Linked DNA regions of Stegostoma tigrinum. The protein of the gene in region 2 purifies or fractionates together with the protein of the main gene of each other region. This does not show direct contact. Links are inferred from orthologs where the notes say so. Each region holds a gene or a part of one and is shown on either strand. Other genes may lie near its edges.

The links.
Region 1: the proteins of ctr9 (region 2) and eloa purify together in Homo sapiens (affinity purification with mass spectrometry; 4 studies listed by BioGRID and IntAct, with this or other methods). This does not show direct contact. The link is inferred for Stegostoma tigrinum from reciprocal best matches to the Homo sapiens genes CTR9 and ELOA.

The regions. Positions count from the first base shown.
Region 1 is NC_081377.1:20,889,795-20,893,548, forward strand, and holds the start of eloa (elongin-A), read right to left. Parts: upstream 2,800-3,754; 5' UTR 2,782-2,799; coding exon 2,707-2,781; intron 1-2,706. UniProt on the Homo sapiens protein: SIII, also known as elongin, is a general transcription elongation factor that increases the RNA polymerase II transcription elongation past template-encoded arresting sites.
Region 2 is NC_081370.1:36,438,888-36,442,641, forward strand, and holds the start of ctr9 (RNA polymerase-associated protein CTR9 homolog), read left to right. Parts: upstream 1-972; 5' UTR 973-1,034; coding exon 1,035-1,082; intron 1,083-3,754. UniProt on the Homo sapiens protein: Component of the PAF1 complex (PAF1C) which has multiple functions during transcription by RNA polymerase II and is implicated in regulation of development and maintenance of embryonic stem cell pluripotency.

The DNA.
Region 1 (3,754 bases), on a different chromosome or scaffold from region 2:
TATCAGAACAATGAGTTAAAATATTTTCATGTTACAAGGAATTTACAAATACACCCATTTCTTCTACTCCAGGATCTGGTTACGATGTTCATCAGTCCCAAATTAAATAACTGCCCACTCTCGTGGAAAACATTTAGTCTCCATTCTAGCTGAGCCAAGGCTACACACTAAGTTTGGAAGTAAAACCTACAATATTCATCATAGGTTACCTGGTGTAATGTTTATAACACTGGATTATTAATCCTTACAATGCAAGTTCACAAATAATTCAATTTTAAAAGTCTGAAATCAGTGAAACAACATACTGTATTAAAATTCAAAGTGGTCAGATCACCATAAAATATCTAACTGATCATTGATATTCTTTGAAAGAGATAATTCTACTGCCCTTGACTAGGCCAGCCCATTTGCAATTCCAGTCGCACAGAAATGTAAGAATATTAAATGTTTTTTGAAGCAGCCTAATAAGTCTTCTTTAGCAGTTTAACAGCTGAATGGAAGTCCACCACTATTTTATCACTACAACTACAGGACGACTACCAATACTAGCTTTGCAAAACTCTCAAAAAGGCATCTAGATAGGTATATGAATAGAAAAGGTTTAGCGGGCTTGGGCCAAATGCCGGTAAATGGGACTGGATTTATTTAGGATATCTGGTTAGCATGGACGAGATCGACCAAAGGGTCTGCTATAGTAATCAAAATGACCTCACAAATCAGAGATATATTGAAATTACAAGATTACCCCCAGGGCACATAGAACCACTTAAGTGACCATTGAATTTTCTTGTTGAAACTGTAATGATTCAATGTCCATTAGGGACTACTGGTACATCCCCAAAATGGCTATATTATTTTAAGCATAGATGCAGACATATTTGAAATTGTTACAATACACTTTGGCTCCCACATTGCCAGCTGTCCTGCTGAGGAGTGAGGATTCGGACTAGGACTGAGCAGAAGCATCCATACAGTCGATTAAAACATTACCCTTTCAATGGCAGATTAAATTTAGTTTAGGATTAAATCGATTTTTATCCCCTATTTACAACATATTGTAGCATTGTATGGTTTCTAACGCCAATCTGCATCAGGATGCAATCTGGTTGTAAATTAGAACATACAGCTATAAGCGTACTACATCTAGATAGGCCAGACTTGAATCAAAGAAATCAACTTCAAAGGGGTGGCGGGTCTAATCTGCAATTTCTGACAAACAGAAACCACAGAAATAAGCAGAGAACCAACCAGAAACTCCAAAATAAAGGCAAATTGAAATCCAGTTGCAACAGCACAGATTTTAAGAGTTAAAACTTTTACCTTTATACAGAAGCTTCCCATTCTGCCACATCTTAGAGAGATCCAACTGTGGCAAGCTGTTGTTATAACATCACATTGTCCTTTGATTAGAGAAAGCTGGAAATAATTGCCCTTTACAAAGCCAATTTGCATTTATATAGAACCTTTAACATAACAAAACATTAAGGCACTTTCGAGGTATTTTGGTGTTTTAAAAAAAAGGACACCAAGCTACACCAAAAAAAATTGGGACAAATGTCAAATGTTTGGTCAATGAACTCTGGTTTAAAGGCATCTTAAACAAAGACAGATGGATTAAAATCAGAGGGTTTTAGGAAAGGAATTCCCAAGTTAAATGTCTTGCAGCTAAAAGCATGGCTCAAGAGGCATGAATTAAAGAAACGTGAAATTTCCCAGAGGATTGTGGAGCTGGATTACATTGTATCAAAGGGAGAGTCTCGGCTACTGAAGGATTTGAAAACAACGATGAAATTTTGAAAATTAAGGTATTGCTTAACCAGAAGCTGGTTAGCAAGCCAAGAGGTGACAACTGAATACAAGTGGTACAAGTTACGACATCAGCAGATTTTTCAATGAACCTCATATTTACATGAGAGGCAAGGCCAGAGAGCCTGCTGCTCAGCACCCAACACCAAACACCGAACAAACTGGAAAACCGATATAACATCCAATAATTCAAATTTTTTTTTAAAAAATCATCAGAATTCAACTAAGCAATCAACATTCTTAAAAGAGAAAATTCCACACCAGAAGTAAGTACTACTTGTCCGCACTACTTCCCTTATACATAACTTACATTCTTGAGATCACTAATTGCAGAGGGATATCAAAATTATCTGCTAACGCCATTTCATACATTTACTCTATCCATTGCCCATCACTTAATTATTCATTACCAATATTTAAAAATAACTTTGAATTAACCTCACGAAAAAGTGTTCCTGATGGTTTGTAAAATAAAAAAATTACAAGTATTACATTTAAAGTCAGCGTGGCAGCAAAACATTTCTGTTCTCTTAAATGTACTGAGCAGTTCTATTTAATTCAGATAAATCGGGACTTCTAAAGAATGCAATGTCATCACTTTCACTCACAACAGAGTGAAGACACGGGCGTATTTTTGCTTTCTACGGATAGAAATTAAAGACATAAATTTATTAAAACAAGTTGATTAACACCTCAGATAAAAGATAAACATCCAGGCAATGGCCTGACCCCGGATTCCCCAACGCTCGCACTGTGTGTTATTCAATGGGTCAAGCATTGGCTTTCCAGGTGTTTAGTCAAATGTCTTCGTGGTAAGATTCGTTACTCTGTTTCTCGAGTTGTGCCTCCACCGTGAATCTCTGAGATAGTTTAGAAATCCTGTAACTGGCGATTCTTTACCTTCTTCGGTTCCTGAGTCTCTGACAAGCGAGTCTGCAGCTTTAAAACCTGCTCCTGCAACCCGTCAGCAGCCATGATCCCACCGTCTCTGGCCCAGCAACCACCCGGAAGTGCTTCCACACATTCAACCTGGAATTGAATAGCTGCCCGTTGTAGTTGATAGACCTTATTCACAACCTCCATCTTAATTTGACGTGTGGCTCAGCAACTTCCACTTTGTGTTTATCATTGAGTTTACCATCGGCCAATCCAAAAATATCCATGTACACGAAAGTATTAAATTGCTAATTCCCATTTCAAATAAACCTGTTGGACTGTAACCTAGTGTCGTGTGATTTCTGACCTCTGACGACATGCCCTAATATCGTGTGGAATTATAGAAAATTCGGTAGGATGTCCAATTTTACTTTAAATCCGCCTGTGACATTTTTAAAGGTGCTGTATAGATACAAGTTGTTGTTGCAGCTGATAATAATAGAAATAAGTACATTTGATTAAACATATTAATGATACATGAAAGCTAGATTTATTCCTATATAGAAATTATTACTATAATTTTTTTTATTAATAACTAACAAAAACCTCTCCATGTAGTAAGTTGTTGTTAAACAGTTTGATTTTAAGAAGAACAAGAATTAGATTACTGTTGTGACTCTGCATCTCCCCTTAGGCAGTCCCTGGAGACTGAGGATGACTGTCTTCCACTATGAAGCTGGGGATCTTGAGGCCACTAAACAGTTTGCTGCTAGGTCCATACAGCCTGCCACGGATAGGCAGGTGGTATTTGAGGATAGGCTGTTTGGTATGTTGAAATTTCTGCATGCTGTATCCTCTGTTCAAAGGAAATTCAAACAGAATGACACCTTCATGGGTGTTTCTTCTCTTCGTGTGATTATGGGAGAGAGATTCCCAAGTATCAGTGGGGATGTCACAGTTTTTCAGGGATAATTTGAGGACATCCTTTAAGCATTTCGCCTGCCTTCCTGGTAATCATTTAGTCTTGGAGTCACAGAGTAATACAGCATGGAAACAGGCCCTTTGGCTCAAA
Region 2 (3,754 bases):
CTGTCTGTGTGGAGTTTGCACATTCTCGCTGTGTCTGCATGGGTTTCCTTCCACAGTCCAAAGATGTGCAAGCTAGGTGGATTGGCCATAATGTCAGTTAAAGGGAAATGGGTCTGGGTGGGATGCTCTGAGTTGGTATGGACTTGTTGGGCCAAAGGAGCTATTTCCATACTGTTTGGATTCTATGATGATGAAATGTCATTCTGTTACCTGTTTTGCTAATGACACTGCCTGAGCCTCCAATTTGAGAGACTGAGACAGCGACGTCTACCACTTTCTTCGGCAGTTCACTCCACATAACACCCAATGTGTGAAGAAGTTGCCCCTCAGGACCCTTTTAAACCTTTCTCTTTTTACCTTACAGTTATGCCCTCTAGTTTTGAAGTCCCCCATTCTAGAGTAAAGACCTTTGCTAGTCACCTGATCTATACCACTCATTATTTTATAAACCTCTACAAGGTCACCCTTCAATTTCTAATGCTCTGGTCAGACCAGTTCCAGCCTCTCTTTATAAGTGATACCCTCCTGTCCCAGTAGTGTCCTTGTAAATCTTTTCTGCACCTGCTCCAATTTGATGATATCCTTCCTGCGACAGGGTGACCAGAATTGTACACAGTACTTGAAAAGTGGCCTCACCAACGTCCTGTACAACCATAACATGACATCCCAACTCCTACACTCATTGGTCTGATAGTGAAGGAAAGCATTCTCAAGGGGCTGAATGGTCTCATCTTGTTTATAAAATTTATAGGTCACAAGCAGGAAAGTAGAGCTGAGACCAAGATGTGACGTTACTGAAGTTTAGAGGAAGTTCAGGGTGCTGTAATTGTCAACTTCAACTTCTACTGAGTGCAAACAATTATTTTTATCTTACGTACGGTTTTCTCTTTCACACACCTACAAGGCACAACCTCCCACTAGAACTCTCTCACGTGATGTCAACCCCGCCCGACCGTTACTCCACCCACCAACACAGCGGTTTCCGGTCCCCGCGCCCTGCCCCGGAAGCAGACTCTGGAGCCAGGCAGGCCGCGATGTTGTCGCGCGGGTCCATCGAGATCCCGCTCCGGGACACGGACGAGGTGAGAGGTCGGCAGCGGACGGCCAGGGGCTCCGGAGCCCGGGAGGGGGAAGGAAATTACCGCGGGGCCGGGCCAAGCTCGGGAGTGGGGCACTGTCTTACCGTCTGCCGGCCGAGGCTTTTCCCCGAGGCCTCGCCTGCTGTGGCCGTGGGGACTGTGAGAGGTGTCGGGGTCTCTGGTGGAAGAGGAGCGGTGAGGGATCCGGGGACCTGGCATTAGTTGTGTTCTCAGTTAGCATCAGTAAGAACAATTTATAACATTGTCGGTGTCAAATTGTTTGACTAATCTCGGTTGCGGGATCTTGCTGTGCGTATGAGGAGCAGGCGAGTCGATGTTACGAGGCTGGACCCTTCAACAGGACTGGGATTGCCCCATTTCTGAAGAAGGATCCCGACCTGAAATGTCGACTTTCCTGCTCCTCTGCTGCTGCCCGACCTGCTGTGTTTATCCAGCTCCCCACCGTATTGACTCTGTCTCCAGTATCTGCAGTTCTTGCTATCTCCTTGCAGTGCGTCCTTTGGTTGAGGGATCTTCACTGTGTACTAGTTTGCTATTGGATCTTGCTGTGCGTTACTTGGCAGTGGGATCTTTGACTGCCTACCGAGTCCCTGACACGTTTCCTAATAATAAATTCTTAGTAATAACTGTTCATTGCTGTAAGAGCTTTGGGATGTCCTCCGGTTCTGAAAGATAATTAAGGGTTTCAGCCTGAAACGTTGGCTTTTCTGCAACTCGGATGCCGCCTGACCCGCTGAGCTTTTCTTGCCTCCTGCCTGTAGACTCTGGCTTCCGGCACCTGTAGTCCTTATTGTCTCCACATCAAGACAACGTGTTTCTCTTGTTTTTGTTGTCTCCGTGATCAACTACTTCATCTTCGTGAACTTTGGCTCATTCAAAACTGCTGTCCGTGCTCAAACCTATTACAGTGATGTCCACCCTACCAGTTTATAAGCCTTGAGACAAACTCTTAAAAATGAACTGATTTGGTGTAGAAAGCTGCAGTTGATCATTGTGTTTTCAAACTTCTGTCAACAGACCAACTTACAGCAGGTGCAGGCCACCTCACCCCTTCAGCCTGCTTTACCATTCAGCAAGATCATGGCTGACCCGATTGTATCTGAAAAGTCCACATTTGCACCCATGCCTGATAATGTTTGGCTCCCTTGTTGATTAAGATGCTATCTATCTCTGCCTTAAAAATACTCAGTTACTCCATTTTAATAGCTCACTGGGGAAGATAGTTCCAAAGATTTAAGATCTACTGAGAGAAAAAGGTATTTTCATCTCCATCTTAAATGGAAGATCTTTTATTTATCACCCTTAGTTCTAGTATCTCCTTCAGGAAAGAACATATTTTCAGTATTTATCCTGTCAAGTGCTTTCAGGATTTTATGTCTCAATGCAATCACCTGTTTTTCTTCTAAACTTCATTGGATACTGGGTCAACCCGTCTTAACCTTTCTTCATTAGATAACTAATACCTGGGATGGGATTTAAGTGAGCATTCTCTGAACTGCTTCTAATATGTTTATATCCCTTCTTTAGTAAGGAAATCACAACTAAACAGTAGTCTGATATGGCCCCTCCAATGGTCTGTACAACTGTAGCAAACATTCCTACTTTTATATTCCCTAATCACTTATTATTCCAATATAGTAACTTTGTGATTTATGTCCCAAGATATTCCATTCCCTCTGTGCTTCGGGATTTTACAACCTTTTTCAATTTAAGTAATATGCTGCCTTTCTGTTCTTCCTGACAAAGTAGAAAGGTCTGCATTTTTAAAATTCTATACTCCATCTGCCAAAGTTTTGTCCATTCACTTAGCCTGTTTGTATTCCTTAGCAGATCCATTATGTCCTGTTCAAAACTTACTTTCCTACTTCATGTCATAGATAAAGTTAGCAACCATACATTTGACTCCTTCATCCAAGACATTTATATAAATTGTGAGTGGTTGATTCATGTGATATTACATTTTTGTGTCTTGCAAACCTACAGTGACCTATTTATGCTAACTTTGTTTCCTGTTAGGTAACCAATTCTCTATCCTATTATGCTATTCCTACAGCACGAGCTGTTATGTTGCTTAGTAACCTTTAATGTGACATCTTGTTCAGTGCCTTTTGATATGCAAGTATATTCATGAGTTTCACTTTACTCACATTGCAGTTTTCTGAGAAAGTAACAAGCAAGAAGTTAAGTAGGATTTCCATGATTTATTCAAACTTTCAGTACAGTCAGGCTAATATGCCTCAACTTCCTACACTATATTCCCTTATATACAAAAATGTACCAACCACTGTCTGAATAGACTCAATAATAGAGTACCCACAGCTCTGTGATTTAGAAATTCCAAAAGATTCACAACCCTCTGAGCAGTATTCCTTCTAATTTTCTTCCTAGCTGCATAGGCACCTGAGGTCCATGCGTGGCAGTGACTCCCAGAAGCAGAAGTCAGTGACACCAACCCCAAAATGTAGATTTCCCAGCAAAAGAAAAGAAAACTTGGCGGCCAAACAATCTCATCTTTCAATTGACAGTTGGTTTCTCAGCCTCATCAGTGAGTTGTTTGATCTATAACAGGTCACAGATCTCTAATAGAAAGAATATTATTTTATCTGACAATGCTTAGGTTTCTAAACAAAATTGTAGAGAAAAATACTGTGGAT